Linked DNA regions of Arabidopsis thaliana. The protein of the gene in region 1 interacts with the protein of each later gene in a pairwise test. Each region holds a gene or a part of one and is shown in the gene's direction. Other genes may lie near its edges.

Region 1 (15,671 bases):
CAGGGACAAGAAGGAAGTCCAAGGACACATGAATAAGGAAAGCATGAACCTGTATATGTGATATCAGCTCAGCTTCTTCTTTAGCAGTCAGAAGTTGTTTTGTCTCAGGTCCCCACAAGAAGAGCTGAAGCGCATCATCATTATCAGCCCCTTGTTTATACTTTTTCTTCGCACTAGTTTTCTGAGGAACATAACCCTCATCGTCCACATCGTTTGATTTTGGAGCCCGTCTGTTCTTTGCTCGTCTCTCTAGCTGCCGCTTCGATCTTACTATGTTTCCCTTTTCCGGTAAGGACATAGAAGAGCTAAAACCAAACATCCAGAAATACAAATCTTTTCACATTACAGCCCACAAGTAGCAGATTGATAAGATACACAAACAAGGTTAAAAAAAGCAACCTAGTGGAGAGAGAATCCTTGATGTTGTCAGATGGATTTGCTTCAGTGTCATCAACTAACAATGCAGCTTGTTTTGAAGCTGATAAAGCCTTCTGAGCTAGTGCAACCACATCACAAAGCTCTGCATCAGCTAAAGGAGACACAACTGCCGGCAATTTCGTTTCAGATGTTAAAGGAGATATTAATCTGCAAACAAAAGAAAGGCTACATCATTCAGAAAACTCAAAAGGTTGTATGAAAACTGAAACTGGTGGGTTTAAGAGAGGAAGAGACATTACAAATTCCATAAACCAGTAGAGTGAAGAAGTTGCTGTTCAAATTTCTCATCTTCTCGAGATGAAACCAATTCATCAAACTGCCTCCTCTCCAGAGTCAACTAAAAATGCAAGGAACCCAATCGCATTAAACAAGAGGACTAGAAAGTTGACAACTTTATGATTGATTCAATCTCTTAGGACAATATTGCTGCTAATAAAACACACCTGGGATGTTCTATCGTCTCTTAACGCATGTGACAGAGGCCTAGACTCTTCCCGTGGCTCCTGTGAGAGAACCGACGCAGGAAAATGTCGAGATAGAGAATTGAGATGACGTGAGTTAACAACAGGAGTTGTTGTTTGATCATGAAGCATCACTACTACAGAAATACCAACAAACGAACAAAAACAAATCAGAAAATGCTAACACAAACTCGTATACATACACTAATTTCAAATTGAAATCCATGAACTTCAAATTCCAGTAACTAACAGAGACAAATCCAGCAAAGACACAATATTTCTATATGAAGAGTAGCTGAATAAGAAGTACCAGAGGAAGGAGAAGAGTAGCTGCTCTTGAGATGAGTCTTTGTCTGAAACGAAGGAGATGAAGAAACCAAGTTCCTCGTAGCTTCCATTTCACAGAATCACCAAAGAATAAAAGACTCTGTTTTTGCTTCCACGAATGGCTAAGGAAGAAGAAGAATAAGAACATGAGGCTACTCTACAGAGCCATGACGAACAGATAAGGCGACACACACACTCCCAATTTTTTTTTTGTAAAAATTAAAACTTGTTTGTTGCCATGGAAGTCAGATTTTGTTCTCTCTCCCTTTTTTTTTTTCCTACAGAGTGGATCATGTTGGGCCTTATATTGGGCTTAAAAGCCCAAATTATCCAAAAGTTAATTCGAATCATCTTCTTCTCCCTCCTTTAGTAACCCTAAGATTCTCTCTGTGAATCCTTGTTCATCGTCACTGAAATTAGTTTACAAAATCGACGAATTCGGAGATGATTTTTCAGAATGTGTGCAGAAATGAGTCCAACTTCAACGCTATAGCTTCCGAATCGCGTTCCCAAACGCAGTTCGGTGTTTCGAAATCCTCCTCGAGCGGCGGCGGATGTATCTCCGCCAGGACTAAAGACCGTCACACGAAGGTTAACGGACGAAGCCGTCGAGTTACGATGCCGGCTCTCGCCGCCGCTAGGATTTTCCAGTTAACGCGTGAGCTCGGTCACAAAACTGAAGGAGAAACCATCGAATGGCTTCTTAGTCAAGCTGAACCGTCGATTATTGCCGCCACTGGCTACGGGACTAAGCTCATTTCGAATTGGGTTGATGTTGCGGCGGACGATTCCTCGTCGTCGTCGTCGATGACGTCGCCGCAAACGCAAACGCAAACGCCACAATCGCCGAGTTGTAGGTTGGATCTTTGTCAGCCAATCGGAATTCAGTATCCGGTGAATGGTTACAGTCATATGCCGTTCACAGCGATGCTTTTAGAGCCGATGACCACGACGGCGGAATCTGAGGTTGAGATCGCGGAGGAGGAGGAACGTAGACGCCGTCACCATTAGTAAAATTAGGCTTTTGATTTAGAGTGTTAAAATTAGGATTTTAAAAGTTTAGGAGGTAACAGATAAGGATAATTTAGTCAAATCATGTTGTTTAGTTTGGTAATGTTATTTTGCCACTAAACAACTAATAATATTGTTTGATAATCTTATTATTTGGTTTTGGAAACAAATTGATTAAAAAATAATGCCATATGTTTATAATGTTTATATTGTTTTTCTCACTATTGATTTGTGATTTTTTAGTAATGCTTGAAATCATTAAGCAACACTATTTAAATAAACAAAAATTTCTCATGAAATCCAAAGAATCATCATTTGTCATGCTCCTCCAATATAGTTATTTCTATTTTTGGAAATAAGTTATAATTAAGAAACCAATCATTTTTCTCACCCATTTTTTTTTTCATTTGCTAGAAATCTGGACCTCCTTCCATGATGACCCTTCTCAACTCTCTTCTTTCACGCAAGTCTCTCATTTTTCAACTTTCCAACTTTTGATCTCAACGTCAACATTTCAAGATTTTCTAAAAGAGAACAAAAAAAATCTACAACAAGCTCGTTAGCTTTCTTTTAATCCTTCATCTCCATTTTTCAAGAATATACTCATTGGTTTTCTCAAGACATGATAGAAAAACACAAGACATCTCTACGGATATTTCTATTGGTAGCTTCCAATGTATCTATTCTATTGTTAGGTCAGAGGGTTCAGATATTTCGATTCGGAAGGTTCTGATTTTAAGGCAAGACTTTTGATATAAGAACAATGAGAGTTAGGGTTGATGTTTGTTGGACACAACACATCTTCTTGTTCTTTGTTTTTGGCTTGAGTTTTATGTCATTTGCACTATCTCTGGATGGAGATGATTACAGCAAAACAGGGAACCCAAAAGCTCTTGTTTCGGTTACAAACCTTATCTATACTCGACTTCAGAATCTAAAGACTGTTTTAAAGGCTGACGTTGATCGAGATTTAGGTTATTGCATCAAGAATTTGTAAGTCTTTTCAAAATCAGCTAATGTAGTCCCATGTTTGAATTTTACATTTTTCTCATATCGTTTGTTGATAATTCAGGAAGGGCGATTGGAATGAAGCATTTAATTTTGATAAAAATCTGGACTTCTTAAGCAATTGTGTCAAGAAAAATGATGGTAAACAACATAAAAAGGGTTATGTTTTTATATTCAAATACTTGAACATTGAGATTTAATGGTCTTGTGATATGCAGGTGACCTCACACTTAGACTATGTTCAGCTGCGGAGATAAAGTTCTACTTTAGTAGTTTTGTTAGAAGAGATGAAGCAACAACGGTTCATGTAAAGCCTAACATCAACTGCAATTTAGCTAAATGGGTTTCCGGATGTGAGCCTGGATGGAGTTGCAATGCAGATGATGAAAAAAGATTTGATCTCAACAATGGAAAAATTCTTCCATCTAGAACTCGTAAATGTCAACCTTGTTGTGAGGGTTTCTTTTGTCCACAAGGTCTTGCTTGCATGATACGTAAGATATCCATTTACATACATATATGTTATATCAACATTATAAGTACTAAAACTTTAATCTAACATATTCATTGTTGTTTATTCTCTGATTTATGTAAACGAAGCGTGTCCGTTAGGCGCATATTGCCCGCTTGCCAAGCTTAATAAAACAACAGGATTTTGTGAGCCGTAAGTTGTTAGCTTTCTAGATTGAGTAAGTTAATGAAAAATCTTATTAGTGGATGATTTAAAGAGTTTTTACATTGCAGATATAACTACCAAATTCCTCCGGGAAAGTTGAATCATACATGTGGTTCTGCAGATAGTTGGGTTGATGCTGAGAGTAGTGGTGATATGTTTTGTTCACCAGGTTCATATTGCCCAACAACGATTCGAAAAGTCACTTGTAGTAGTGGGTATTGATTCTTTTATCTCACAACTCTTGTTACTTTTTGAAAATTTGTTTCATATATGAAATATTCATCATTAAGGATGTAATTAATGTTTTTATGTATTACTTAGACATTACTGCAGACAAGGTTCTACGTCACAGAAACGTAAGTTTCTAAAACACTAAAACCTAAGAAAATGAATTGTTTTATAATATCATTATCATTCATTAATTCTCTTTTTGGTGACCGTTTTAGCATGTTTTAAGCTCGCAACATGCAATCCGAATACCGCAAACCAAAATATTCATGCCTATGGAGCGATCTTAATTGTAAGTTGTTAGTTAATTAGAATACATTTTGCTTTAAAATTTGTTGGAAATTATATTTTCGTTATTGTATATATAGGCATCACTAAGTCTTCTCATGATCATGGTTTATAACTGTTCTGATCAAGTTCTCGCCACTCGAGAAAAAAGACAAGCAAAGTCGAGAGAAGCTGCAGCGAGACATGCAAAAGAAACAACACAAGCTCGAGAAAGGTGGAAAACCGCAAAAGGTGTTGCCAAGAACCAAAAGATGGGATTGTCTGCACAACTATCTCAAACATTTTCTCGCATGAAATCTGCTAGAAAGGATGCCACACCAGTTAAAGCATCGGGAAAGTCAAAAGACAAGAAAAAAGAACCGAGTAATTTAACCAAGATGATGAAATCAATGGAGGAGAACCCGAGTAACAACGAAGGATTCAATGTAGGAACCGGTAGTAAACCTGGGAAGAAGCCACAAGCTCCAAAGGGTAAACAACTACATACCCAAAGCCAGATTTTTAAGTATGCATATGGTCAGATTGAGAAGGAGAAAGCTATGGAACAAAACAACAAGAACTTGACATTCTCGGGAGTTATTTCAATGGCTACTGACACTGAGATGAGGACTAGACCTGTTATAGAAGTCGCGTTTAAGGATCTAACTCTTACATTGAAGGGTAAACATAAGCATATATTGAGATCTGTCACCGGAAAGATCATGCCAGGTCGTGTTTCTGCGGTCATGGGTCCATCAGGAGCTGGAAAAACTACATTTCTTTCTGCCTTGGCAGGAAAAGCAACTGGATGTACGAGGACGGGTCTAATCCTTATAAATGGTAGAAATGACTCTATAAACTCGTATAAGAAGATCACTGGATTTGTGCCACAAGATGATGTTGTGCATGGCAATCTTACCGTCGAAGAGAACCTTCGATTTAGCGCAAGATGCAGGTAAATTTATTCTCATATCATAGAGGAGATTGAGAGTCCAATTCTTAAAAAAATACATTTTTATTACATAGTGTTTATGCTTCAAAAAAATGTTGCATATCATTTATTTATATATGTTTCTTTACATGCAGATTAAGTGCTTATATGTCAAAAGCAGACAAAGTTTTGATCATTGAAAGAGTGATTGAAAGCTTAGGATTACAACATGTAAGAGACTCGTTGGTTGGTACGATAGAAAAAAGAGGAATCTCTGGAGGACAAAGAAAACGTGTGAACGTTGGTGTTGAAATGGTCATGGAACCTTCTCTATTGATATTAGATGAACCCACTACAGGTTTAGATAGTGCATCTTCACAATTACTTCTTAGAGCACTTCGACGTGAAGCACTTGAAGGTGTTAACATTTGTATGGTCGTCCATCAACCCAGGTATGTTATCTCCTCCATGAATTATGTTACAATTTTATGTTAAGAAATACTTTTTGCTTAATAATTGGTTTTTTCCTCTTATTAGTTATACAATGTACAAAATGTTCGATGACATGATAATACTAGCAAAAGGTGGTCTTACCGTGTACCATGGATCAGTCAAAAAAATAGAAGAATATTTTGCTGATATCGGAATCACGGTTCCCGATCGTGTCAATCCTCCTGATCATTATATAGATATTCTTGAAGGCATTGTGAAACCAGATGGTGATATAACTATAGAACAACTTCCTGTGAGATGGATGCTGCACAATGGTTACCCTGTGCCTCACGATATGTTGAAATTTTGTGATGGACTTCCTTCCTCGTCAACTGGATCAGCTCAAGAGGATTCCACTCATAATTCTTTTAGTAATGATCTATGGCAAGATGTGAAAACTAATGTGGAGATTACAAAAGATCAGTTACAACACAATTACTCGAATTCTCATGACAATTCTAATCGAGTAACTCCTACCGTAGGTCGACAATATAGATATTTTGTTGGAAGGTATGATTTTTCTAGATTTGATAGATGGAATTTTGTGGTTAATTTCATATGTACATTAAAACTTTAGTCTATCTATTTCAGGGTTGGAAAACAACGGCTTAGAGAAGCAAGACTACAAGCGTTAGATTTCCTAATATTATTAGTTGCGGGAGCTTGTTTAGGAACTCTTGCGAAGGTGAACGACGAGACAATCGATACACTTGGCTACACATACACCATAATAGCTGTCTGTAAGTTTCTTACGTACACAAATATTAATTTACATTTACTAGTATTCGCGATTTTTGGAACGTTAACTAAGCTCTTTTCTGTATGTCTTTCTTTTTTTGTAGCTCTTTTGTGTAAGATCTCGGCATTGAGATCATTCTCTGTAGATAAATTACAATATTGGAGAGAAAGTGCCGCTGGAATTAGCAGTTTGGCACATTTTATGGCTAAAGACACAATGGACCATTTAAACACAATTATGAAACCTTTAGTGTACTTGTCCATGTTCTACTTCTTCAACAACCCGAGATCTAGTTTCGAAGACAACTACATTGTACTAGTATGCTTGGTCTACTGTGTAACAGGCATGGCTTACATTTTTGCCATATTGTACAGTCCTAGCGCCGCACAATTGGTTTGTCCTCACTTTCTCATAATTCATATATGAAGGAACCAAAATTTTCACTAACCATATGGTACCTGAATTTGCTGTTATGTTCTTGCAGTTGTCGGTGTTAGTCCCCGTTGTTATGACTCTTATCGCTAATCAAGATAAAGAAAGCATGGTCCTTAAGTATCTCGGAAGCTTTTGCTACCCCAAATGGACTCTCGAAGCCTTTGTCCTTTCCAATGCTCAAAGGTAGAAAGTTTGAAGATTTAATTCTTCTAACACATAATCAAATCTTAATTCAGAAAATTTGATTTTGGACTCTTTTTTTTGGGTTAGGTACTCTGGAGTGTGGGTGGTGACTAGATGCAGTTCATTGTCTCAAAACGGATATGATCTTAGTGATTGGATATTGTGTCTCATTGTTCTCGTTCTCATGGGACTAATATGCCGATTCATAGCTTATTTCTGCATGGTTACATTCCAGAAGAAATAATCTAATAATTACACATGATTAAAAAGCTTACATTTTGTAAAATTCTTCTATTTTTCATACGTTAAATATTAAATGAGTTATATAAGTAGTTTATAGAATTAGAGAAGAAGGGATTTTAGAATTCCAATTTTGTAATTTTTATTTGTAGATAATGGTGATTATTCATCATGCTTTTTCTTTCTTTATATGGTAACCGGTTTTGGTAAGATAGAGTCATACAGAGAATGATATACAAAGAAATCGGTTTATTTTCAGTTACGATTCTTTGGTTTATATGATCCGGTTTAATTGGTTACTAAGATGATGTCGGAAAGAGAATAGGGAAGCGGCGTAACTAAAAAACACGACACGATGATGAATTCGGCGTTTCGAAACGTTCACATCACTGCGTCTCGTTTGATAAACCCTAAGCCCTTTTCTTCTTCGATTCTCCATTTTCTTCCTCTCTGTTCCGGCGACGCTTCTCCTCGCCGTTCCAATCCTCTCCGGCATAGAAACTCGGTGTCTCCTTCATCTTCCTTTCCCTTCTGTTCGACTTCTTCCTTTTCTTCTTTCTACATTCCTATGGCGGGAGGAGATGGTCAGGTGTCTCATTCGCTTGAGAAGCAGTTCGAGAGTTTCCGTGTTCAATTGGAAGAATCTGCAGCTTTGAGAGAGCAGATTCGTGCTGTGGTTATGGAGATTGAGTCTGCTACTAGGCTTATTCAAGCTAATCTTCTTCTCGTTCATCAATCGCGTCCTATTCCTGGTAAATGATTAGTCTTTAGGTTAAAAATTGCATCTTTTAGCTAAATGTTTGAAATGGCTTGATGGGTTCAGAACTTGGTGATGAAGTTCTCTATGAAGGGAAGTAACTAAAAATGAAGAACTTGTTGAGAAAAGAATGAATATTGAATTACACATAGCCTTTGTTCTTTTAAGAAATTCATTGGAAGTGTTTGGTTGTTACTAATATAGATTGCTCGTTTTGTTGATGGATCAGAGGTTATCGAGAAAGCTAAGGAAAAAATCGTTGATTTGAAGCAGTATTATGGTCGGCTTGCTGAAATTCTTGAGGAGTGTCCTGGACAATACTATAGGTAAGTTTGAAAGCTATGTGTAGTTAGATTTTCTTTATTTGCAATGGTTTTTTGTTAAAAGGTTTTTGTAATGTAGGTACCATGGAGACTGGAGAAGTGAAACACAGGCAGTGGTCTCCCAGCTTGCTTTTATGCACTGGCTAGAAACTGGAACTCTTCTCGTGCATACCGAAGCTGAAGAAAAACTTGGGTGTATGTCTCTGGATCTCAATTTACTATTTTCCTTACTTCCAAATACTGAAATACATATCATGGCCTAGTGGTTGCACTATAAATAAAACCTTATTTTGTTTTGCTAGTTCTCTCACAAACTTTTGTATAGAAACTTCCTTCCCACAATAGGTAACAACTGAGCTGGCAGTAGGCAATCAATTTGAAATCCGTTCATGACTCCAACATACTATACGTGTTATCCTGTGACCCTCCTTTTGCCTGACCTGTCTCAGTTGGAAAAACTAAATGAACGAGTTTTCTACTTTTCTCAATAATCAGATTCAGTTTGCCACTAGTCTTCTTCTCTTATCAGTATGTTAATTAGTCTACCTTTTCTTGCTCGTTGTTATTGATTTTGTCCTTAGGCTTTGTTTCAGTCTGCATTTTATCCACTGTAGTGTCAACCATTTAGCTAAGATTTGATTTTTTCACCTCAATAGAGTTATTAGTTGCCGTTTCCCATGAACTCAGTTATTCTCCCTTAGGATGGATGGATGATAATTGGAAGGTTGGTTTTTCATTACGTTGGTGTAGAATAGATATTTGCCCAAGTGTCGTTTTGTTTCAAATCTGGGTTTTGTTATCTTGTCAAATCAATTGTCTTTGAGTAAAATAAACAGAACAAGGTGTTGGTCAATTCATCTGCCATTATGGCTCTTCTAATTCCACTTCATTGTACTTCAGTGAACAGTTTGGAGTTTGGATTGGAGACAGAAGATTATCTCACTGGTAAGTTTCTGAGAAAGAACCCATATTTGCTCTGGAAGGCCAATATCTATAGATCAAATATGCCTTACGAGCATTTTATGAATCGCAACATTGCTTTTATATTCTCTGATCTTCAGCTTTTTGAATACTTTGCAGGAATTTGTTTCATGTCAAACGATTTGGTAAGATCATTTTTATCCCTAAATCTTACTTTCCATCTTCCCCCTTAGCATCCTACTTGATAGCAACTTATGAAAAACCTTTGGATAAATGCAAATGGGTGATGCAATGTTTGAGCAGCCTAGGTACGTGGTTAATCGAGTGACAGCAGGAGACTATGACTGCCCAAGAAAGGTGATGAATTTCCTGACAGATCTTCATGCAGCCTTTCGCATGCTCAATCTCAGGAACGATTTCCTGCGCAAGAAATTCGACAGTAAGTCATACATATCTCTAACTGCTCTTCTTTCTCCATTTGCGATGGTTACATAAAAAAAAAATCGATTTTGACATGTGACAGGTATGAAGTACGACCTAAGAAGAGTGGAAGAAGTTTACTATGATGTCAAGATCCGAGGTTTGATTTCCGGCGGAGATCCTCCTGGCGTCCAAGCAGTCCAAGGCCAATCCTAAATGTCCTCGGCTCTTTTTAAGTTTTTATGTATAACTTTGTTTAGCTAGCATGAAAACGTCAAGGAGTGTTCTTCTCTAAACCAAAAACGGCAAGGAAAATAGAGAGACTGTAGTTTTTAGGTGTAGTTTGCAATTACTGAAAACGGCAAGTATTCCTTTTGTGGGCCTTGAAAGCCCACATTTTAGTCACAACTTTACTGTTATCCGAAGTCAGCAGCTTAATAGTATAACAGTAGATGTTCATGAACTCCACCTGTCCATCGTTGCGGACTTGAAACGCACGTTATATTTGACGGTGTCTTACGTCATTTTGGATTTCAAAACTAAATAAATCAGCTTTTGGAATCCGAAACAAAGACAAAAAAACAAAATCCAAGTCTAACAGTCGCCATTTCCCCTCCTGCGTCAGTGTTCTTCGTCTCCTCTCGTCGTCTCTCTTTGGTATCTTTTTTCTTAGCTTCGAGTACTATTCTTTTCGCTGACATTGTGTTAGATTCTCTCTTGAACTTGAACGATCTCTTTTCCAACACAAATGTAATGTATGATATCGTTCGATTTTTTCTCGGATTGTTAGTTTCTTCAAATTGCAGGTGTTTAGTTAAAGGAAGGGGATAAGCTAAGCAGCTGGATTTTCTTTTCTTTTCTTTTTTTTCTTCCCTGGAAAGTTATATTTTTATTATTATTTTCTAATGTAACAGCTGTGAGTCGTCTCTATGGCCCACATTATACGTATATTTCTTTTATGTTTTTTTTTTTTTTTCTATATTGCATTTGCATTTTGAATGTTGTGATAAACATTTAAAACATTGACGCTTCTGTAGCTGCTGAGAGTTTTGATTTTTCTTTATTTGTGTTTATCTATTCTGTCAATGAGACTGAGATCATCCGACAGAAATTTGTCTGGCTACTCTGTTTCTTTATACTGTAATTGCATAGAATGTCTGTCCTCTGTTCTTAAGTAAATCTTATATTACTTATTTATATATTTTCACTAGATTTGAGGCAAATTAATGTTTTTTAATTTGGAGAGAACATGTTTCATGTTGTGAATTTGTTTATTAGTGCTTAAAAAACATGGATGAATCTAATGGATTGGGATAACATGCATATATAGAGAGAAATGAGATCTAGTTTCGTGAATGTAGCATGTAAGTTAGATTGGTTTATGGGCAACATTGTCCGGTTCTGTTCAATTATTGTGACATATACTTGGTTCTTTGCAGTGTAAAAACTTGGACCTTGACTTGAAATGGGACCTTTTGGGATGGAAACAACACCCGGTTTTCCTGATACTTTTGCTGGATTCAAATCTGCCAGTGTGAGAACATCTTCTTCTTCATCACTTGTGTGTTTCTTGGTTTTCTACATTTGGATGATGAATTTATTACATGACTTTTATATATTTTCTTTATAGGTTGATGAGAATCTTGGCCATTCAATGGAGGATAAAATGAGTGACATGAAGCATTTCCTAATGGATCCTCATCATGATAATACCGCGGTGGACAGTTTCTTAGGTCTTGGTATGGAGAATATGGGCTTAACCTCCAAGATGGAGGAGTTTTCACATGGATTTGACGTTAGCTTTCTCCCAGATTATGGTAAGTCGATTCAAATGCTCTTTATGCTGAATGGCTTTGTAACATTGTAAATGGGAGTATGGTTAATGTTAGAGTTCTCTTTCATTTTTTCTAAGGTGGAGTTAACACTTTTAGCACTCAAGATGTGGAAGCAGGTTTAAAGTTTGAAGTATGTGTTCTCTTTATGCACTCCTTTACATGGTTTTTTTTTCTTGGTCATTCGTGAAATAAAGTTTCTTCGTCATCTCGTAGATTCTTGATGGAATTCTGGATGGAGTTGATGAAGTGGAAGATATCTACGCATCACATGAGCTTTCTTCTATTGTTAACCATTTCCCTCCAGGTAAAATTTTTGTGATTCTATCATCCTGGTGCAACTGAGCAATCTATACGGTTCACAATCCATTCAATCATTTACTTGCAGAAACTGAAGTCAAGAAGAATGAATTAGAGGGTGACCCCTATGGTCTTATGAACTTCAGTTCAGAATCTTATTCTCCTGGAATTAGTGGAAGCATCGGACTCGCGGAGTGGTCAAAAGAAACTGTTCCATATGCTGAATCCCAGATTGTATCCAGCGAAAAAGTTAAAGATAGTTGGGATACAAATGAGTCAGAAGATGACAAGAAACCACTATCCACATTTATAGGCTCTTGGATTAAACGAAAGAATCGGAAACAGAAATTGCTCAACACCGCTTGTAGTAGGTAATCATCGGTGACTAAAGTCTTATTCTGAATATATAATCCCACTGGCTTCAGATTTCCTAGTGAAGCTCTCTTGTATAATGTTACAGATTAGATTCTTCTCGTGAAAGAAAGTCTTGCGAGTCCTATGACTTCAGGCCCCGGAAAGGACCTATGAAGAAATACATTCACACTTCAATGGTTTGTCTTACTCTCTAAGACTATAGAGTTTTCCCATTTTTTATAATCTATGTAAACCAAATACCATCTGCTATTGCAGGAGAAAACATTTTCTGATGATCAGCTTACTTTATCTGAGAGTGAAGATGACATTTCTGTAACAAAGACATCCAGAACCAAAAGTGACAGGAGAAAGAATCAGAGGATATGGACTCTTGATGAAGTAATGAATTTGGTTGATGGTATTTCTCACTTTGGTGTTGGGAAATGGACCGATATAAAGAACCACTTCTTTCATTATGCAGCACACCGCAAACCCGTTGATATCAGAGTATTTCATCATTCATTCACCTCAAAAGCAAGCTCTTCATTTAGTAGTGATTGGTGACTCAGTTCTTCTCCTCAATGCAGGACAAATGGCGTAATCTACTGAAAGCAAGTTATAACGAAAAGCATAACGATGGACAGGTTTGCTTTTTTCTCTTCCTTTGTCAACAAAAATTCATATTCTGAGAAATCCTCTGTAACACAAAGTTTGAGATGTTCAGGCTGAAGAAAAACGAAAGTCAGTGGCTCGCTCTATACCGAAGGATATTCTACATCGTGTAAGAGAACTTGCTTCACTCCATCCATATCCCTTCTCCAAATCACCGTGTATTGTTCATGATTCCTCAAGAAGCCGAAGCACTTCAAAGAACAAGAAGAAGAAGAGTGGATGATATTGATAGTCTTCATGGAGAAAGTCTAGAGAAGCTATATAGATACTTGAATCGTTTTAACTGTGTTGGGAAGTTGTTCCATGTGAAGTTTCTGTTAATGAAACCGAGAATGACTTCAATTCAGAAAAGCATTTAGCTTATTCCCTCTATATAAGCTCCATCCTCCAATGCAATTAAACTAACAAACTGCAGCAACACAACCACTAGAGGCTTTTTGTCTGAAAATTCATGGTCTCTGCCACCTGTTATACTGCAAATGTTTCAAATCTCAAAAACCAGAACCAAAACCAAAGAATTGTAGTAAATTACAACTGCAAAAACAGAGGGGAAATTGGTTTGTTTCTCACACGTGAGCAAAAACATCGAAAATATTATAGATCAAATCACTTTATCAATAAATTTTACAATTTTATCAAAAAAAAATACAATTATCGACATACACATAATAGAACATTATTAAAAGGTTTAGTTTAGTTTTAGGATGCAAATAATACAAAACATTAAAATTAAAGCACAAACATGAAACAAATGTCCAGACTCTGAGAAGTCAATTTCTACATAAACTATGGCCAAGATAAGATGATGATTAATTTTTTTTCTTTTTTTTCCATGAAAGAGAAATGTATATAGAGATAACATTGCATCATAAGAGTGTTTGCACATGCACGCAATAAATTCTAAAGTCAGAAGAAGCCAGCTTAGTTCAGAATGGCAGTCGTTGTTAATTAACTTAGACAGACCAAAACCAACTTCAAAACACACACACAACACAAACATAACAGGTAGATAGATCTGAGAGAGACATTTTTCGAAGAAGAGAATTGTTGTAAGAATGAGGATCTCTTACTCTATTGAAGGGAACATCTTTTGTGAATCCTTAGGGGGATGAACCCTAATCAATGATACTCGGTTTTACTCTTATAATGGACCCTCCAATATTGACACTTCTCCATCTATGTACCCTTCCTAGAGACAATAACCCTTTCACCATCCCTATCTCAATCTTGTGAACCGCATTCTTCCCCGCCTTCTTTAACTGAACTATCACTATACGCTTTTGATCGGTAAAAAGTTAAATACAAACTCACCTGTAAAAGTTAAGCTACCTAACTATACTGCAAATGCTGATCATTGCATGGTTCTACATTAGACCATGTGTAGATAGTTCAAGAAGTCACCTGAGCTAGAGCCTTGAGCTGTTTAAAAACCAACATAACTCTAGGAAAAGTCAAGAGATCTGGATTTCTGCAGATCAAACTGAAAGTACCCATGCATGAATCATTAACCAAGTCATCACTATCTCCAAGAAGATTTAGACCCATCCCTGGACCCTGTTCCTTTCAGATCTTATCTCCTCTCTATCTCTGTTCATCTTGTCTTGTGGGGTCTTAATCCCCCCCGTGAACTTGAAGAACTCTGACACCAAATGTGAGCTAGGGAAAAAAAGAGATCATTTTTTTAATCACATCTAACCATAGAGACGTATGTTCGTACAGTTTCAGTATTTCAACTCTATCAACAAAAGTAACAGAACCGCACGGTTGTATAAAGTACTGTATCATTTAAAAGTTGCCCATCTCACCCTCTTTGGCTAACTGTCATGTCCCAACATTTATTAAGGAACTCTGATATTTCTACTTCTGCGTATATATATAGACTTGTCCTTCACTGTGTACTATTCATTCACAAACATATTCCTCTATCAAAAAAAGTTCAAAACATTCTATCCATCTATCTACCTTATATTAGATATTAATCTTCTCCTCCTACTAAAATGAAGAGCAAGTTCATTAAGTCCTGTGAAAAGAAACTGAAAAAGATGACGAGCAAAGTCATAATACCTTGTGCGTCTTGCGAGTCATGCTACGAGAGAATTTGCTGGGCATTCAAGAAGGAAGCTGAGGTGATTCCAAGAGATGTCCCTAAGGGACATTTGGTTGTCTATGTGGGTGAAGAGTACAAGAGGTTTGTGATAAATATCAACCTGCTTAAACACCCACTCTTCCAAGCATTGCTGGATCAAGCACAGGATGCTTACGGTTTCAGTGCTGACTCCAGACTATGGATTCCATGCAATGAGAGTACTTTCCTCGATGTTGTCCGTTGCGCTGGTGCACCCCAGCATCAGAATAACTGCATATGTATCTAGGAAGGTTCTTGTACAGGGAATTCAAGACATTCATTGATTTATCCGGCTCCACGTTTACAAAAAGAATGTTGTTTAATGCTAAGCTATCGGGGTACACTAATAATAATATAAGACTTTTTGTATTAAATGTGTCTTTCAATTCAGCCGGAAATGTATTACTACTAGCTACAAGGAAAGCAATAAAATACGAGTAAAGTTATGTATCACACTTCTCCAGCTCTAAAGAAATACATGAAGCCACTAAAGCCAGAGCTAGTTACTGACTAAAAGAGACTAAAACATGA
Region 2 (18,125 bases), on another chromosome or scaffold:
CGGAGATTAGGGAGAGGAGAAGAAGTGTAGTGGAAGGTGATGGTGTGGATGAGGAAGAAGAGAAAGGAGAGAAAGATCTAGTTGGGTTTTCGAGAAGTGAAGTGACCGTGATTGATACTAGCTTTAAGATTTGGAAATCTGAGAAACTTGTTTTCAGGAGGAGAAATGTTTGGAAAGTGAGAGAGAAGAAAGGTAAATCAAGAGTTGTTTCGAAGTTGAAGAAGTTGATGAAGAAGAAGAAGAAGAAAAAGAGGAAATGTGATGATGTTGATGATGATGATGGTGGAATTGCTCGGAAAAAAAGCAAGAAGATGAAGATTTCAACATCAGTTTCAGACAATGTGAGTGATCATGACTATTGCATATCCTTACGTTATGTGATTCCAATGGCATTGATAGTCATAATGTATTAGGTTATTACTAGCAGTAGAACTGGATTAGGTCTCTGCAGTGTTCACCGATGCGATGCGAATCGAACTGTGTTGTTAATATGTCTCATTTTCATTGCAGAATCCACGCTATAACGTCGAAGAGATTCATGATGAACCAGAAAGCAGCAATGTCAGCCGAAGGCAAGTTCGTTAGCTGTGTTCAATGGCTTCTACTCCTACTGTATATTAATGGCATCTCTTCTTCTCTTATCCAGGTTGCTCTCTAAGCCTAGAAAAGAAGGTTCTTTCGGTATACATACAAGCAAGAAGAACAGCGAAGCAGCGGCTCAAGGTTATCGGTCTTTGGCCTAATAGAGTCACTAAACCAAACCAAGTTTGGCATTTATGTATATGATGATGACTGTTGTATGATTATTATGTAACATTCTTGTTTATGAAAAAATGTATTGCTATCATCTGATGGAAAGAGAATTAAGATCTTCCTTTTCACCACAAAAGTAACAAAGAGTGGTTGGCCATTTTTTTATGTACACTGACTTCTACAATCTTTGTTGCATTGTTTATTCAAGAACCCTAACTCCTACACAGGTAAACTGTAAGGAGAGATGAGCTTATCGGTTTTGGTGTGAGCAGAGGCAGTCTACTCGGCGAAAGAGTGTTCATTCAATTGCTCGGTTGGAAGCGGCTCAACCTTCTCGGCCTTCCCGTCTTTCTTTGGGATTATCAGACCGTAACCTCCTTCTTTTCTCTTGTACACTATGTTTATCTCACCTGCAAACCAAAAACAATATCAAAATGTAAGTATTCCTGTTGATCTTCCTCCGACTCCTCTGAGGTTTAAGCAATCGAGTATTTATGGAAGAAAATAAAATTGTCACATGCATACCAGTTTCTTCATTTTGGAAGCCATAGAAGTCGTGACTGACTAGTTCCAGCTGCTCGACTGCCTCAGCGACAGTCAATGGTGGCATCTCGAAAGTCTTGGTACGGACAATCTGTAGAAAAACCCGCAATAACAGAAAACGTCATCATAAGATCAGCAAACTCCAATGATAAGGCATTAGCCTATTAGGTAAGTCTGGACCAACCTCCTTGATCAAATCATCCTCTTCTTCTTCTTCTCCTACGCTCGAGTCAGTACTGTCCTCAACATCCTCCACAACCGGCTCAATCACTGGTTCCCTTACCTTCAATCTGTTGAAACCTTTCATGTGCCTTCCATGGTCTGAGTCCTTCTCCTTGATCTTCCTCAGCTTCCTCTGTATTATCGTTGATACCAAGTCGATACAAGCGTATACTGTCTCAGCATCTTCCTCAGCACGCACAACACCATGCTTCTTTGTAAACAATGTCACCTTAAGTACCATAGGGAACTACATATTAGCTTCTGAAAGCGTTTCTAATATCGAGATCAAGTCACAACAAATCAATAAAAACGACATGTTTACCTCACATCTTCGAATCCTAGGGCCTTTACCAAACTCTCCACCACGAACAGAGAGTCTTACATCAACTTCTCTCACAAGATGACTGTGTTTCTGAACAGATTTGCCTACTTTCTCTTCAACATGCTGCTTAATTGGCTCTGATAACTGCCACAACAGTATCAAAGTTAACCAATTGATTGAAGACAACAAACTTCAACTATCAAAACCAAAATGTTGAACACATAAATCCCACTGAGTAAGAGTCAAGAGTCACTATCATAAACCTAACAGAATCAGTATCCAGAAAGTTCAAAACTTTTCTAATGAACATTCCTCAATAATCGAAACCCAGAAAAACTCAACATAAAATTCAACATTTTGTTCAGAATCCAATCAATTTCAAGTGTGTAATAGCAGAATCCAAACCTCGAGGTTTTTTCCTTGGATGATCAACTTGACGGAAGCAAGAGGACCGTCCCACGACATTTTCACAGCTAATGAGCTTCTACAGTAACTGTGTCTTACTTGTCTCCGATCTTCGTAACCAATCTGGCCGAGGAAATCTGAACGGAGCTTTTTCGAATCAGTCCGATTCAAGCCCACCATTGAGACTACCGTGGAAGAAGATGAGCACGGCGGCGTAGAAATCCAGACGCCGCAATGGTGAAACTTAGTCTGAGAGAAACCTAAAAGCGTTGCCATTTGTGAGAGTGAGAGAGATTCGCAGATCTTACTTTCTTCTGAGAAGTGAAGCTTGAAGACTGAAGTAGTGAGAAAGGAAGTGGAAAATATTTTGGATAAGGTGAAAAATGGATAAGGATGATGACATATGCAAAACGAGAAGAATTGTGAAATAAACCCCTTTCTTTCCATTTCTTACAAATTAGTCCCTTTAATTTGAGATGTGTGTTCACTATCACTTCTTTAATTCTTTTGGCATTACATGAAAGTATGAGACTTAATTTACTTACAAGATTAATTTAGTTTCTATATGAGAAATTAGTTAGTTACATGAATTCTTTGTTGTAAAATTTTCATAAAATTAAGGTCTTACATTCACATTTCCACAAATAAAATTTGATAATTCTACATAATTTTTGTGGTAATTTCTTAGTGTAGTAAATTTAGTTTAGTATGTACTAGTACTGACGTTCATAAACCTTTTCATTGACTAATGTTCAACATTAGAAAATTCGTAAGTGTATATCACAAACTAAATAATCACTAAAACTCTTCCAAGCACTAATATCGAAGAGTCTACCCTTACTACGTCATCCGGTGAAGCTTCTGCTCACCGGCGTCGGGATTTCTTTCCGTTGCTTCACACATTTTGTTACCTCTTTCTCTTTTTATTTATGCTTTGGCTCTTCTCTCAATCATCCCGACCACATTTTCAATCGATTCATTTTTTCGACTGCTCATTGACCAGTGACAGAGGGCAGAGGAGTTGGCCGGCGACCCTTCCTTCTCCTCAGCCTTTGTCTGCATCGACCTTTTTGAAGTGTTCTCCAACAGAACAACCCCATCTCTTCCGATCTAAATCCGATCCGATCTCATCCATCACCACCCTTACCTCCGATCTCTTTTATGTGTGTACCTCGTCGTTGATGATCTCAGTCCCAACGACATCGCTTAGCTTTCATCGGAGGTCCTATCTGTCACCACAGATCCGTCGTACCATCACCGTCCTCTGTTCAACGGAAGCCTTGCTACGGTTTCTCTTAATGGGCCACTCATGTTTGAGCCCATTAACCAATTCTAGGCCTATCCCCAAAAGCAATGACCCATCTCCTTTAATGACTTGGCCCGGCCCCTCCAAAGCGTTTCCGCAAAATCATAGGTTTGATTCAACTTGATGTTTGCCTTCTTTTAGTTTGCATTTGTGTCGATTCATGATACCAATTGCTAATGGACATCGATTGAGTCTTAATCACACATTGCTGCTAGGTTGGTACAAAAATCTCTTGAGAACCTTGTCTTTAGAATCACATAGGTGTCTTATTCATGTTGCTAAATGTTTGAAGATGATCGACATTATGATCCCGTCTCTAAGGAGCGATGATTACCGAAGCTTCTTTAAGTGTTCATCTCCGATTCATTTGCTTATTGACTTCATCCTTGAGATAATTAGCTACACCTTGGGCACTACTCTTGAAAGTAAAAGTTTGATGAAGAATGGCATTATGATCCCGTCTCCAAGGAACGGTGGTTACCAAATCTTCTCTAATCATTTTTACCCGTTAATCCTAAACCTAGAGCCCCAAACCAAACCCGAAAAAACCTTTACCTCCCATGAGTCTCCACCATTGGTCCTTACGTCCTTATTGCGCTTCGTGCCGGCAAGCCATGTGGCAAAGGACACATTTTCAAAGTCAAAAGATCAAGTTTTCTTGATCGTGACTACACCAAAGCTCCCTGACTTGGTCGCGAAAGTGTCTATGATACATCATGAGGTCATATGTGGCTTGTTGTTTGATTGCTTCTGTCTCTGTTCCTCTATGGATTATAAAAGCTATCGACCTTTTCTTGTTGTTAATTCTAGTTCTCTGAAGTTGTTGTAACCTTTTTATACTCGAAAATTTTGTAACCTTTGCTCTTAGGGGATAAAATGAATGAAATGCAAAAGGCTTGTTTGACAAAAAGAAAATTCATAAGTGATATCGCAACAAGATATCGACCAAAATCTTCATTACACGTCATAAGCATGCACCAAGTGATGTCAAGGATAAAAATCTAAACAATGATTCATGAAAGGTTATACGGTTTTTAAAAAAATTAGTATTGTATTTTGATTTTTGAGCTCGATTACATATTAAGATTTTGTTTTCCGTCAATAATAGTGAGAATATATGTGGACAATGCTTTTCTTACTAATTCAATTTGGTCATTACTTTATTTTGTGTTTTGTTTTCTTCTCAACATAGTTTATTTTATATGCGTGTGATTTAGTCATTAATTAGCTAACATAATAATTGATTATGCTAACTACAGTATAACCTCTATAAATTAATATTTAATAAATTAATAATCTGTATAAATTAATAAAAAATTTCGGTCCCGAGTTGGTACCAGTGTAAAAAATAACACAAATCGATAAATTAATAAGATTATACTTATTTTAAAAATTCTATGTAAATATATGGTCCCATTAATAACATAAATTAATAATTGAAAAAAAAATTTTAAAATATATATATGTTATATGTTAGAAAAATTAGTAAATTATGAATTTGCTATTATTTTTATTTTTATTATACTAATTCTTGGCAATGTTCAATTTTAATATTTTTACTACATCGAAAACACTTTTTTGTTATTTGATAGACACAATAAGTTATTCTTATTTACAATTACTTTTAGAAAAATAATGATTATAAATAAAACAAAATTATTTCAAACTCAATATTTTTTTAAAATTATAAAATTAGTCTAAACTCTCTATAAATTAATACTTCTATAAATTAATAGAAATTCATGGTCCCAACATTATTAATTTTAGTGATTTGTTTAATCTTTAATCAAAATTATAAGTAAGAAACAAAATATGTGTCAAATATACTAATTACAGTAAAACTAAAACCTCTCTAAATTAATAATATTGGGAGATTAATATTTAAAGTGAAAATTTTAAATTTTGTTATTGTAAGGCATTTCACAATAAGATTTTTAAAATACACTAGTTTAGACAATATAAATCATGTAATAGTAATATTTTGGATACTATCAATCTTGCATCGGTTTAGAAAAATAATATTCACAATAGATGATAACAAATTGAAATTGATTGTACAAAATTTGTTTTATATGATATGCACTGTATTTTAATGATTTTTGTTGTAAAAATGACATTTATTAATTTGTAATAATGATTAATAATCTCAATCATCGTAAACAAATAGATAGAAAAAAGCTATTGCATGTTGGGATCTTGAATAAGCTTAGGAATCACGGGTTTTGTGGACAATTAGAGATCCATGTGTTGTTGGCTATTGTAAACTAACCATGAAATTCATTCAAATCATCCATTCCAAAGAGTTTTGTTTTTTACTTAGTGACATTCCTATTTGTTTTTGGGTTAATCTAGTAATAATTAGACATTCCTATTTGTTTTTTACTTACTGATTCTTTTTTCCTTCTAATAATATGTTTTAAATTTGGCATTAGTATTTATTATAGTACGACTTGTCTCGTAGAAACTAAGCATTTTCCAATTACATATTCTTTTTTAGATCCTTCGTTAGCATATGCAGAGCTGATCTTCGACACATCTGGACACAGCAGGATAAAACATTTGCTGTGACCTCCATTTTTTTCAGCAAAGCTTATTTACAAAGCATCCTTTATTTTACTCATTTTCCAATAATTGCCCCAAATTTTTTAACCTTCTAACTTAACCTTAAATTTTCTTTTTTTGAGTTTTGACCCACAAAATGTCAGGGCTGGCCCTGAACATATGTATCAAGGTTTCTTCTAACTTGTAGTCGCCTACTGCTACATACAAGGAACATTAGGGCTATTAGGAAATAACAAATCTAAGGTATATCTTTATTGATCAAATCTACTATAGTTTTGGTTTTTATAGATAAAAATAATTTATTAATTTAAGATTTTGTCACGCATCATTTTTATAAAGATATCTTTTCAAAAATATCTATCTAATATTACTAACCCATTATATTACTATTACATATCAGTGAAAACATTTAACCATAGAAAGACAAAATTCATTTGTGGTCTAGATAGAACAACATGTTGATGACGATTAAATATATTAGATGGAATTGACTCAAAAAAAAAATCATTACCTAAAACATCGGCAAAACATTGTTTTCATGCAACTCAGCAAAATTAATTTGAAGTTTTTTTATCCACCATGATATCAATATCGGCCTATCTCAAGATTTACATATAATCTTTAATTAGATTAACGGATTGGTTAGATTATCTAACGTAGATAATGTTTGATTGTATGGATGTTTTGAAGACCATTAATGCCAACTAGCTTAAGTTTTTTGGGAAAATGGATAAGCCATTAGCCTTTTTGTTTGTTTGTTCATAGAGCAGACCATTAGCCATTTATGATATTATAAGATGGAAATATCTCAAGTGGCCTAAAAATGAAGAAAAACATCATACACATACTGTAAAGAACAAAAAAAAAAGGAAATATCAAAGTTGGCCACACAAAAAGAGAGGCCATGGAAATATCACACAGACAAAAAATATCTGTTTGAAAAAAGATGGAGCATGTTCAGTGTAAGTTAGGCCAAAATATCTTTAGATTTTATTCCTCAAGCCAAAAGTCATTGATCCACTACACTTCAACACCGGTGCGTAGAGCATCATCCAACCAATTAATCAAACATTTTCTTTTTCTTATATATCGTTGAGTTATTAGTCAATTGTGGTTATTACGCTCGTCTGTATATCATAGGTTCGAGTTCAAGTAATTTAAAGTTTGGGCGACAAAACAAAAATAGTAAAAAATTTGTTTCAAAGTATCATGTTGTGTAGTTGAATTTTAATTTTGCCCCACATATTATCTTTTTGATTAATAAAATAAATATACTTTCAAATAGTTGTAATTTATCAAATAAGTATTGATCATAGAACAGTGATTACTTTTAAAAACAGTTGCTAATGTTTTAAAAATGTAATTCTTTCTCGAATTTCGTACTTTCTATTACATATTATAAAAAAATAACTTATTATTTAGATACCACAGTAAAGTTGTTATCCGTAAAAATTATTTGACATTATATATCGTTATCATCATTATACAAATTTTTTTTGATAATTCAGATGATTTTAATGGTTTTTTATGTCCAAAGAGTAATCTTCAAGCCCGAAAAAACTATGTTAAAATTCGAACTTCGGTGACCAATATTACTGAAATCCAAATGACGAATAATTATTTTCTGGTTTATTATTGGACGAATGCGACTTAATTATTTTGTCTATTTTATATCATTTCTATTAGCAACATCATAATAAAATTTCTAATATATGCTGTCAATTATGTGACCAGCAACAATATAGTAAAACAATGTTAATTAAACCCATCTAACAACAATAAAAATTTGTCACTGACATAGTTTTCCTATATAGCACTTATTTTTCTTTTGTCAATAAAACACGCCGGCCTAAACCTATTTCTCAGTTTAACGCATGAAGTGCTAGTACAAGGAACTAAACCACCTGGCTTATTATTAACCATTTTCTTCATTTGTTTGATTGATCATTACACTAATTGTCCTTTTTTATTACCTAGTAGTTTACTAAGTTTGATTAAGAGAAGAAAACCATAGGGTCCAGTCAATAAAAAAGAAAGTCATAGCGTAGGACAAGACTCTTGTTACAAGAGAGCGAGTAGGAGAGATATATTACACTCGCGGGCGCGTAAAGAGACAAGGAAAAAAGAAGATATTTAGTCTCTGACAGTGACAGCTACCATTTAAAGGTGAAAGACTGTGTCAGATAATAACCATACACGTGTCATATTCCTATCCACCAAAGAACCACGAGGTTTTTAAACAAGTGTCTCTAATCTAATCCCACCCAACAACAAAATATCTAGCCGCGGAAAATTACTTTAAAATTCATCACCCTTTGTCCCTACTCTTGACTCGTGCATGTTCCATTTGATTTATTCCACCACGCAACCAAAATAGTAGCAATAGAAAAAACCAAAATGTTGATAAAAATTTGGTAAACTATGAATCTCTATGATCGATATTCATTTGTTTGATTGTTCCATTTCTTTTCTAATGCAAATCAATATTAAAGTGTTCTTATTTCGTGACTAAAATATATGGCTGGCCGAAAAAATATAAAATAATATATGACATTTGCTATTAGTTAGCACCAGTGATCATTTGGTGTAAGCAAATGTTTTTTGTGCCAAAAAATAATATTGAAATATATGTATAATTAATTCATTAACAAAAAGTTCTTATTTGTTATTTCAGAAAATAAATTATACCATGTGTCCTTGATTTTCTTATGTGAAAAAAAATTGAAATATCCTTATTGTTTTTAAAATAAACAAATTGCAAACCTATGTACCAAACAGAAAATAATACAATTGTTTTTGGATAAATTTGTATAGATACTTTTTCCCACTAGCATTAGATATTTTTTGGGTTTGGTATTATCCCAAAAGTCACGAGTGGGATTTTTATAGGTACTCAAAAGCTAAAATGTCTGAACAATAATATAAAATACATTTTAAAATAAAAGTAAAATTTAGAAGCATCAAATAAGTAATAGTTTCAATGTTTAGTGTTGATCTCTTATTAAAAGAAAAATAAACAAGAAATTCACTAAATATTTCTCCATCACAAATACATAAACATCAATTGCAATAAATATTTTGGTAAAGTATAATAAAAAATTAAATCCAACTTTAAATATGAACCACATAGAAAAACCAAAGGCTAGCCACCACACCAATTTTTTCTTAAAAGAAGGTTATTTGGCGTATTGGATCTCTTTTGTCTCGTATACAGTATTTTGCTGATGTGGCAAACGTGGCCACGTCAGCCAATTCTACTAGATATTTTTTCAAATCCAAATACTCTTTCCACAACCGTTAGATCATGGTCGGTTCGCCACCCACTTTCAATCATAACCGTTAAAACATTCGCTAGATTTTTTCTAGATATTTTCTTTTCTCCACACTATTATAGAAAGAATAAAGTTCTTTTTTTTGCTCTCTTCTCATTTATCTCTCCACTCACAAATATTTTGATTTGTTTTGTAACTGTTTCTCTTTCTCTGGAGCTTTCTTCTTCTTCTTCAATAATCGATTTAGGTTTTTCAAAGCTAAGTGTTTGTGTTGTGATAATGACTAGTAGCGAGGAAGTAGTTGAAGTGACGGTGGTTAAAGCACCTGAAGCTGGCGGAGGAAAGTTATCACGTCGGAAGATTCGGAAGAAAGACGCCGGTGTTGATGGTTTGGTGAAGTGGGAGAGATTTCTCCCGAAAATCGCGCTTAGAGTTTTGCTCGTTGAAGCTGATGATTCTACTAGACAGATTATCGCTGCTCTTCTCAGGAAATGTAGTTACAGAGGTTAGTTTCTGGTTTCAATGCTTGAGATTTAGGTTTTGTTTGTATAGAATCTGAGAATTATGAATTCGATTGAGATGCTAATGTTTTGAATCTGATTCGCGTGCGGCTAAATGTTACAATTCAAAGTCAAATTTAGAAAAGTCAACGATTTTTTTGTCGGTTTTGTGTTCATATAGAAATCTTTATCAACGCTTAGTTTCTACAACAAGCTAAAAGGATTTGTATTAATGTGGTTTGGTTTTGTGTATTGATCAGTTGCTGCAGTACCTGATGGCTTAAAAGCTTGGGAGATGCTAAAAGGAAAGCCTGAAAGTGTTGATTTGATATTAACAGAGGTTGATCTACCTTCAATATCTGGATATGCTCTGCTAACACTTATCATGGAGCATGATATTTGCAAGAACATTCCTGTTATAAGTACGTTGATATATACATCTTTTTCTTCCATCGTTTTGAAATGATTTTTTGGCTCATTATGTATTGTTTTTTTTTCCAGTGATGTCGACACAGGACTCGGTGAATACTGTGTATAAGTGTATGTTGAAAGGTGCGGCTGATTATCTTGTTAAGCCGTTGAGGAGGAATGAGCTTAGAAATCTTTGGCAGCATGTCTGGAGAAGACAAACTGTATGTTTCATATCCATCTTTTGTTTTAAGCTTTATGTGTGATGAATTATCTCTACAACTTAAACCCGTTCTTATATAAGTTCTGGGAAATTTCGTTGTCTTGAAAAGATGATTGAGTTCTCAGATTTGTTTTTGGTTTTGATTATCTTTTACAGTCACTTGCTCCTGATAGCTTTCCATGGAATGAGAGTGTTGGACAGCAGAAAGCCGAGGGTGCGTCTGCAAACAACTCGAACGGAAAGAGAGACGATCATGTTGTGAGTGGGAATGGTGGTGATGCCCAGAGCTCGTGTACAAGACCAGAGATGGAAGGTGAGAGCGCAGACGTGGAGGTTAGTGCGAGAGACGCAGTACAGATGGAGTGCGCAAAGTCTCAGTTTAATGAGACACGGCTTCTAGCAAATGAGTTGCAGAGTAAGCAAGCAGAAGCCATTGACTTCATGGGAGCATCGTTTAGAAGAACTGGACGACGTAACAGAGAAGAAAGTGTTGCTCAATACGAATCTCGGATAGAGCTTGATCTTTCTCTGAGAAGACCTAATGCTTCTGAGAACCAATCTTCTGGAGACCGGCCTTCTCTTCATCCTTCTAGTGCCTCAGCTTTCACACGGTGAGTTGTCTAATTTCTCAATTCTTCTTTCTATTAATCGTTCAATAGTTGTCGTTCTTTCTGCTGATTGTGTGTGTTATGTTCTTGTTGCAGGTACGTTCACAGGCCGTTGCAGACACAATGTTCAGCCTCCCCAGTGGTTACTGATCAAAGAAAGAATGTTGCAGCAAGTCAAGATGATAACATTGTGCTAATGAACCAATACAATACATCTGAACCGCCTCCAAATGCTCCAAGAAGAAACGACACCAGCTTTTACACTGGAGCTGACTCACCTGGTCCACCGTTTAGTAATCAGCTGAATTCTTGGCCGGGACAGAGTTCATACCCTACGCCAACCCCTATCAACAATATACAGTTCAGAGATCCCAACACAGCTTATACATCTGCAATGGCTCCTGCTTCACTCTCCCCAAGCCCTAGTTCCGTTAGCCCGCATGAGTACAGTTCCATGTTTCACCCATTCAACAGTAAACCCGAGGGGTTACAAGACCGGGATTGTTCCATGGATGTAGATGAGAGGAGATACGTCTCTTCTGCAACCGAACATAGTGCAATAGGCAATCACATTGATCAGCTTATTGAGAAGAAGAACGAAGATGGCTATTCATTATCCGTCGGGAAAATTCAGCAATCTCTTCAACGAGAAGCCGCTTTAACCAAATTCCGAATGAAGCGAAAGGACAGATGTTATGAGAAAAAGGTAAAAACTTAACTTCGATGGTTCCATCACATAGATGAACTCATAACGTAATGATACTAAAGGAACCTTTGAATGACTTAACAGGTTCGTTACGAGAGCCGGAAGAAATTAGCAGAGCAACGACCACGAATCAAAGGCCAATTCGTTCGTCAAGTCCAATCCACACAAGCTCCATAGTGATCCAACAAATTGATATATTATATACAGTTCAATTTTGTATCATCAACTAGAGGAATTTTGTTTTCTCCGATGCAGGAGCTGTTCTTTGTACAACTAATTCCACATACGTTAGATTTGGTGACACATTTGTGTGTACATACACATCTTTCGAGCTTGTTGTTGAGTTTTAGTTAGAATCTACGTTAGATCTGTAACTACATACATTTGGATTACGTTTCTGTAACTTGCAAGACGAATTAGAAAGATTGACAAAATCTCAGCTAAACAAATTTCAGCACAAAACAATGAACTCGAAGAAGATAAGCTATAGTGAGATCAAAACTTCTGGAGAATAGTATCCACTAACACAAAAATAGCCAAACGAAGAAGATGATTATGAACATATATAAATGTGTATATGTATCTCTACATGGCTCTCTGATTATTCATGTATCAAAAGCAAGATTGATAAAATTTGTGAAAAGCTTTGTTTTGAGATTTTTTTTAAGATCGAATCGAATCAGGACTAACCCATTTCCAGTAATGTCGTTTCACAGTTACAGCATTCCCAGCGGCGAGTGTTTCAACCGAATCTTTCGTCGAGTCTCCTCCCTCGTACTCTTTTTCCTCCGTACAGAAATCTTGCTCCGGTAATCCCTCCACCGTTGCATTCACAGAGTGAAGAGCGTAACGCGCCGGTAATCCTGGATACGATAGCGAGTTCCTTTCTTCAACTCTTCTGTTATAAGTTCCGGGAAGAATCTTAATTCTCTGTCCAATGTTATCACCATCGCCATTGAAGATAGATCCGAGCTCTTCTTTTATGGCGCGAAAAACTGCTTCGTCGGGAGATTCTTCAGGCTTCATTTTCTCTGATAAAGGACGAAATCTTTCACGAATACTCCCATCGGATAATTCCTGATGAGCTTCCACTAGGATTCGTCCGTTTTTTCCGATTACTCGAACGGTGACGACGTTGACGGTGCGTACTGGAGGAGTTGAATCGGCGAGAGAAGTTTCGCCGTCGGAGAGTTCTAGCCAGAGGTTATGAACGTTTTTGGTTCCCGGTTTGACTCCCCAAGCGGCGAATGAATCGGAAGGTAATCGCGATTCGAGCCAATCGGAGAGAGATTGAGGATTAGCGAAGCGTTGAGTAGGAGGAGGAGGAGGAGGAGATCGGCGAGACATGGCGGTGATGGATCGACGGCGAGGATTTAGAGGGAAAGAGAATCTGTTCGGAGGAAGAGAGACTAGAGGTTTAGGAGATGACCAGAGGAAAAGGAGAGAGACCGCCGCGAGGAAAATATCAGGTAAAGCGGAGGTGACGGTTGCGTTACGAGGCCGGTGGTTGTTGATGTTACGGCGGTTAACGAGTGGTGTGTGCGGCGGAGATGGGCCAACGAACATGTCAATTGACCAAAATACCCCTAACGATCGAAACCAACTCTCTATCGTGGCTCATACTCGTACCGAAGAAGATTCAGAGAGGCCTATTAATAAATAAATAAGACCAGAGAAATAAATATGAGGAAGAGATTGTGACGACGATTATTCGCATATCTAATCTTTAATAACTAGATTCTCTTTAATTGCACAATGGATCTTATCTTTTTATAATTTAACTTTTTACCCTTTAGTTTTATTTTTTACTAGATTCTCTTTAATTTGCACAATGAATCTCACGTTTGAAATTACAATTAACCGTTACCTAATCCTACTATATTATTTGGAAAGTATATTTTATATATAACCTTAACTTTTATAATTAATTACATAACAATGCCATTAGAAAAATTTAATCAAAAACAAAATCCTTTTATGACGTCATTAAGGTTACCAAAATCATTTAACGACAATATTCATCTCTTAATTATAGGGCTTATTGGATCTAAAGACGGGTCATCAAAGATTTCCTAATCTGAAGCAAAATATACTGAATATTCAAATATCTATCTGTTACCAAATTATAAACAAATAAGTTCGTAAAATAATTTCATATTTTATATACGAAATCAATTAAATCTTAATTACATAAAAATTAGCAAAAAAAAAAGTATTCAACAATTAAAAATTTATCAAATCTCTGTGTTACATAAATTTTGATACTATATTCGAATAAAGTGTAATATACCTTTTCAATTTGTATTCTTTAACTAATTTAAGCTAACTAATATATTTGCTAATCTTATACCTATCAAAACTAACTATCGTTTCTTATCTCTATAGTATTTTTGCAAGACCTTTTTGGTGGATTTGGGTAAAAGTGCATTCGGGTCATATGATACATTTCCCTATTAAATAAATATGGTGCACTCCTATGTTATTAGCTAAAATGTTTAGATTATAATTTAGAGTCATATCATAAATAAAATTAATATTAATAAAATAAATGGCTTTTTGGCAAGACGAATTTGGAGAGACGGGTTTTTGAATCAACATTAATAAAAAATTAAAATATAATTAATTAACCGTTTCAATACGGATTAAATCTTTAATTTATTATTTTTTTAAGACCACTAATACTAAACATATCAAATCATCATAATTTAAAAAAAGATTATATAAAACCAAAAATGATATGTTTGTATGTATAATGTTACTATATATAAAATTAAACTATAAAATATACATGTATTAAATGTATTAAACAATGATACAATTTGCAAAATTTATATATATAATTAATAATTCTAAAATTTTAAAAATTACTACTTTAAAAAAAAATCACGGGATGGGTGAAGAAATTACAAAACGGGTTTTATTTTGGAATTGGGTTATATGGTGGATGTATTTGAATCAATATTTATAAAATTTGAAAATATTGTTAATATGTTGTTTTAATAAGGGTTAAAACTTCAATTTTTTTAACAATTGTCTCATGGATTCGTGGTATAGCGTTACTTAATAACAATTATAAATTGCAAAATATAAATATTTTATAAAAATAAAATTTGCAAGTTTTAATTTATATTACTTTTAAAAAATAAATCGTCCCGCGGTATACGGGGGTTAAAATCTAGTCTCTTTACATTTAGCTACACACACCGAGTTTCGTATTTACAATGTAAATACACGTTATATTCAAACTTCTTCACTCATCATCCTCCTCGTCATCGTCGAGAGCGTTGGATTCTTGCTCGTAAATCGGATACTCTCCATCGCTATCATTATCATCATTGGCACTACCATACAAAGCTGATGCGCTGCTTGGAAACCTATTGAACAAACCTTGCAGATAGGTTCTGGAGTTGTTCTCCATGTCACCATCTTATCATTGTTTAAGAAAAACTTTAAACCAAACCAGATCAAGCTCTAAATTCTCTCCTAATCCCCTAGAATCTGCATGTACTAATGACTAATTGGTGCTTATGTTATGAAAGTTTATGCTTTGAAGGATACATCCATGAGAACTTATTGATATGTCATCATCATTTGCAGCCTGCAACACAACACATTAGATTAACAGAGAAACGATGAACAAGCCTTTCGGGAAAACTAATGGGTGAAGTAAACAAGAAGTAGTTTGTAAGCATGGTTACCTCCTCGTATTCATCATCCAAGTCTTCAGAATCCTCATCCGCATTAACATCATCATCTTTCTCCTTGTTTGTGTTTTTACACTTTTTCATATCTGCGGATAATTTTACACCAACAACTGTTAATCCATACTTCTTTTAAGGAGAATGTGTTTGATGACAAATGATAATAAGCAGAGCATGAGATGTATGACAATATAAAATGCCTGCCTCATTCGATTTTGGCTGGCACATGTGATTGTGCACCCTTATATATTTACTTACAAATTCGTCGTACAATATGTCCAACAAATTAACTCCAGTCAAGTTCACCATGCTTTAACACAATTTTGAGACCATTGAGATTTGAAAAAGAAGCACTTGGCTCCATGCATGTCAACAATCACTAACTAGGCTGCCTAACATGTAAAGATGAAAAGAACTGAAATTGCTTTGTCTATCTTACCTTTAGTTGTTTCCTGGTGATTCCGTTGACTTGGTTGCAGTGCATCTTTCTGAATACGTGTCTTTTCAGACCTCTCAAACTCTTCTTGAATAGATTTAAAAACGTCTTCGAAACCTGGCTCAGGAAACACAGATACAAACCTCACAGCTACACGGAGTCTCAAATTGTCAAGCAGCGCTTCAGAGAACCATCCTGTTTTATACTAGCAACAAAAACAAATCAGTACAGATAACCAAGACCTCACATAAAACAATTTTCCACTCAATATATCATTTGTGTGTGATTGATGACGCAGTGTTTTGGTAGTGGTATTTTTTGCAAGTGCATGTATAGGTTTGATCTGTAATAAGCAAGACTCTAATTTTTTTGGAATCTACTTCATTAACAAAAGCTTTAGCTGATAACTCACATTACAAGTAGTCTGCTTGGGAGGCTTTCTTATCTCTTGTTGAATGTACTCATCGTCAAGTTCAAATAACTGTAGAAATGTTTGGCATTTGAAAGGAAATACTTTAAACGCACAAATGTCATCCCAGCTTGGCTTTGACCTGTCACAAATAAGAAAGAAAGAAAACATCACCTTTATAATTGGACCGTTTCTTCAAACATATATCCAATGTTTTATTTGCAATTTCTCCATGTAAATTCATATATATGTTCCCTGAGAAACTATCTTGAAACTGTTAAAAGAGAACATTTAGGTTGCTATCCTCGGAAAGTGACTGAAAATCGGAAAATGACACGTTTCTAGAGAATTCAGACACACTTCGCATTGTTTTAAAAATTATAATGTTCTCATACAATTGACCACAAATCAATACTTGCAAAGAAAATGTTATCATGATATATGTTTATCTGTCCATATATATTACAAATTGAGAATCTTGAGTAGAAAAATATCTTGAGTTTACAAGGAAAAATGGAAAATCTTACTTGTTAGTTGCATTGGAATCACAATAACCCTTTAATTCAGGTGGAACCCTGAATTCCATTCTCTGGAATCTGAAAAAAACAAAATATAAAAAAGGTTAGAGGTGAAGAGGTTTGACATACAGCTGCAGTCTGGATGCAGGAAAATATGAACTACAGAAGAAAATTTCATGTCAAGCAAGTTTCCAAAACCCGGATAATGTCAGCACCAACACTTTCTGCATTGGAAGATAAATACGCTCTCAAATGAGCCAAGTAGAATATGTATCATTCTCGAAACACTTTGCAGAAGACGAGGAAGTTCAGAGGTGTAAAACCGGCCTATTTCTGTTCTATTTTGAGGTGTACAAATGACAATTCTACATTACCGTGTCATAGACCATGCATTTGTAATATGAATAAACTTAAAGAGATAGAACTCACACACGAGATTCAGGATCTTTCCGTGGATCATAGCCTCTTTTAATCCAGAACCTAAGAAATGGACCACCCGAGAAATAATATGCAGCCCTAAGAAGAAACCTGCAGAGAAAACTCCAGAAAGTTGGTTATTGCAGTAATAATACACATAAGAAATGCATAAAATTTGTTCACCTGTTTAACATATGATGTGTGCATGTAAGACCTTTATCGAGTAGTCGTTGGACTATGGAATCTCTTGTCCACACAGGTCGCTCTTCAAACAATGCAGACACTGCTACCTGCCATTTCCATTGGTTGGAGGTGGGAACGATATAGTCTTCCCATTTTAATATCTTTGGGATCTGTATGAATGCTAAGGACTGATCAAAGATATCCAAAATGACAAAAATCATCAAACAAACATGGCTTCATACTCAGCAATAATAAGATTTGGAAGATTAGTAAAACGGAGAAAAGGATATCTTTGACACTAAAATCAATTGCAAATACTGGGCCAATATCTATCTGCATCATCAGTAGATCAATTAGCAAATGGAGAAGTAACAACCACAAGTAAACTGTCATGGAATCTTTAACTATCAATATAAATAAACAGAACAGCAGTTCCCTCAATGTTTTAAAAGTGTGAACTGCGAGCTTTTACATGCTTCAGAATCATTAACTCTGCAACTACAGGCTTTAGAAAAAACATTTGCAAACTACCGACATTCCTGTAAGAAAACCTAAGCAGAATCCACCTCTTTCAAGTCTCAAACCTTACCGTTACAGACTTGCAGTAATTAAGAATTCCATTTTACTAGTT

Evidence for each region.
Region 2: the proteins of AT2G37000 (region 1) and PRR5 interact in a two-hybrid assay, tested with the Arabidopsis thaliana proteins (one study listed by BioGRID).

Annotation. Positions count from the first base shown.
Region 1 is NC_003071.7:15,538,720-15,554,390, forward strand, and holds AT2G37000 (TCP family transcription factor), read left to right. Parts: upstream 1-1,526; 5' UTR 1,527-1,670; coding exon 1,671-2,237; 3' UTR 2,238-2,529; downstream 2,530-15,671. Other genes in the region: SIGF (RNApolymerase sigma-subunit F), read right to left, coding at 50-305, 400-585, 678-775, 882-1,036, 1,210-1,297; NAP12 (non-intrinsic ABC protein 12), read left to right, coding at 3,001-3,230, 3,310-3,386, 3,464-3,739, 3,846-3,909, 3,990-4,136, 4,243-4,277, 4,368-4,441, 4,518-5,365 and 6 more; AT2G37020 (Translin family protein), read left to right, coding at 7,792-8,188, 8,423-8,519, 8,596-8,711, 9,417-9,461, 9,597-9,622, 9,741-9,876, 9,961-10,073; TRFL8 (TRF-like 8), read left to right, coding at 11,323-11,391, 11,488-11,674, 11,770-11,822, 11,906-11,996, 12,078-12,360, 12,450-12,540, 12,620-12,850, 12,931-12,987 and 1 more; AT2G37030 (SAUR-like auxin-responsive protein family), read left to right, coding at 15,013-15,387.
Region 2 is NC_003076.8:8,350,086-8,368,210, reverse strand, and holds PRR5 (two-component response regulator-like protein), read left to right. Parts: upstream 1-9,664; coding exon 9,665-9,890; intron 9,891-10,145; coding exon 10,146-10,307; intron 10,308-10,386; coding exon 10,387-10,517; intron 10,518-10,672; coding exon 10,673-11,127; intron 11,128-11,220; coding exon 11,221-11,830; intron 11,831-11,914; coding exon 11,915-12,007; downstream 12,008-18,125. Other genes in the region: AT5G24500 (fantom protein), read left to right, coding at 1-341, 511-572, 647-743; AT5G24490 (30S ribosomal protein), read right to left, coding at 1,033-1,163, 1,279-1,387, 1,481-1,747, 1,841-1,984, 2,246-2,521; AT5G24480 (Beta-galactosidase related protein), read left to right, coding at 3,175-3,659, 3,813-4,380; AT5G24460 (RING-H2 zinc finger protein), read right to left, coding at 12,494-13,396; AT5G24450 (Transcription factor IIIC, subunit 5), read right to left, coding at 15,081-15,256, 15,389-15,428, 15,529-15,620, 15,971-16,172, 16,380-16,518, 16,904-16,972, 17,324-17,422, 17,495-17,666 and 1 more. UniProt on the Arabidopsis thaliana protein: Transcriptional repressor of CCA1 and LHY, thereby controlling photoperiodic flowering response. Involved in the positive and negative feedback loops of the circadian clock. With RVE8, forms a negative feedback loop of the circadian clock.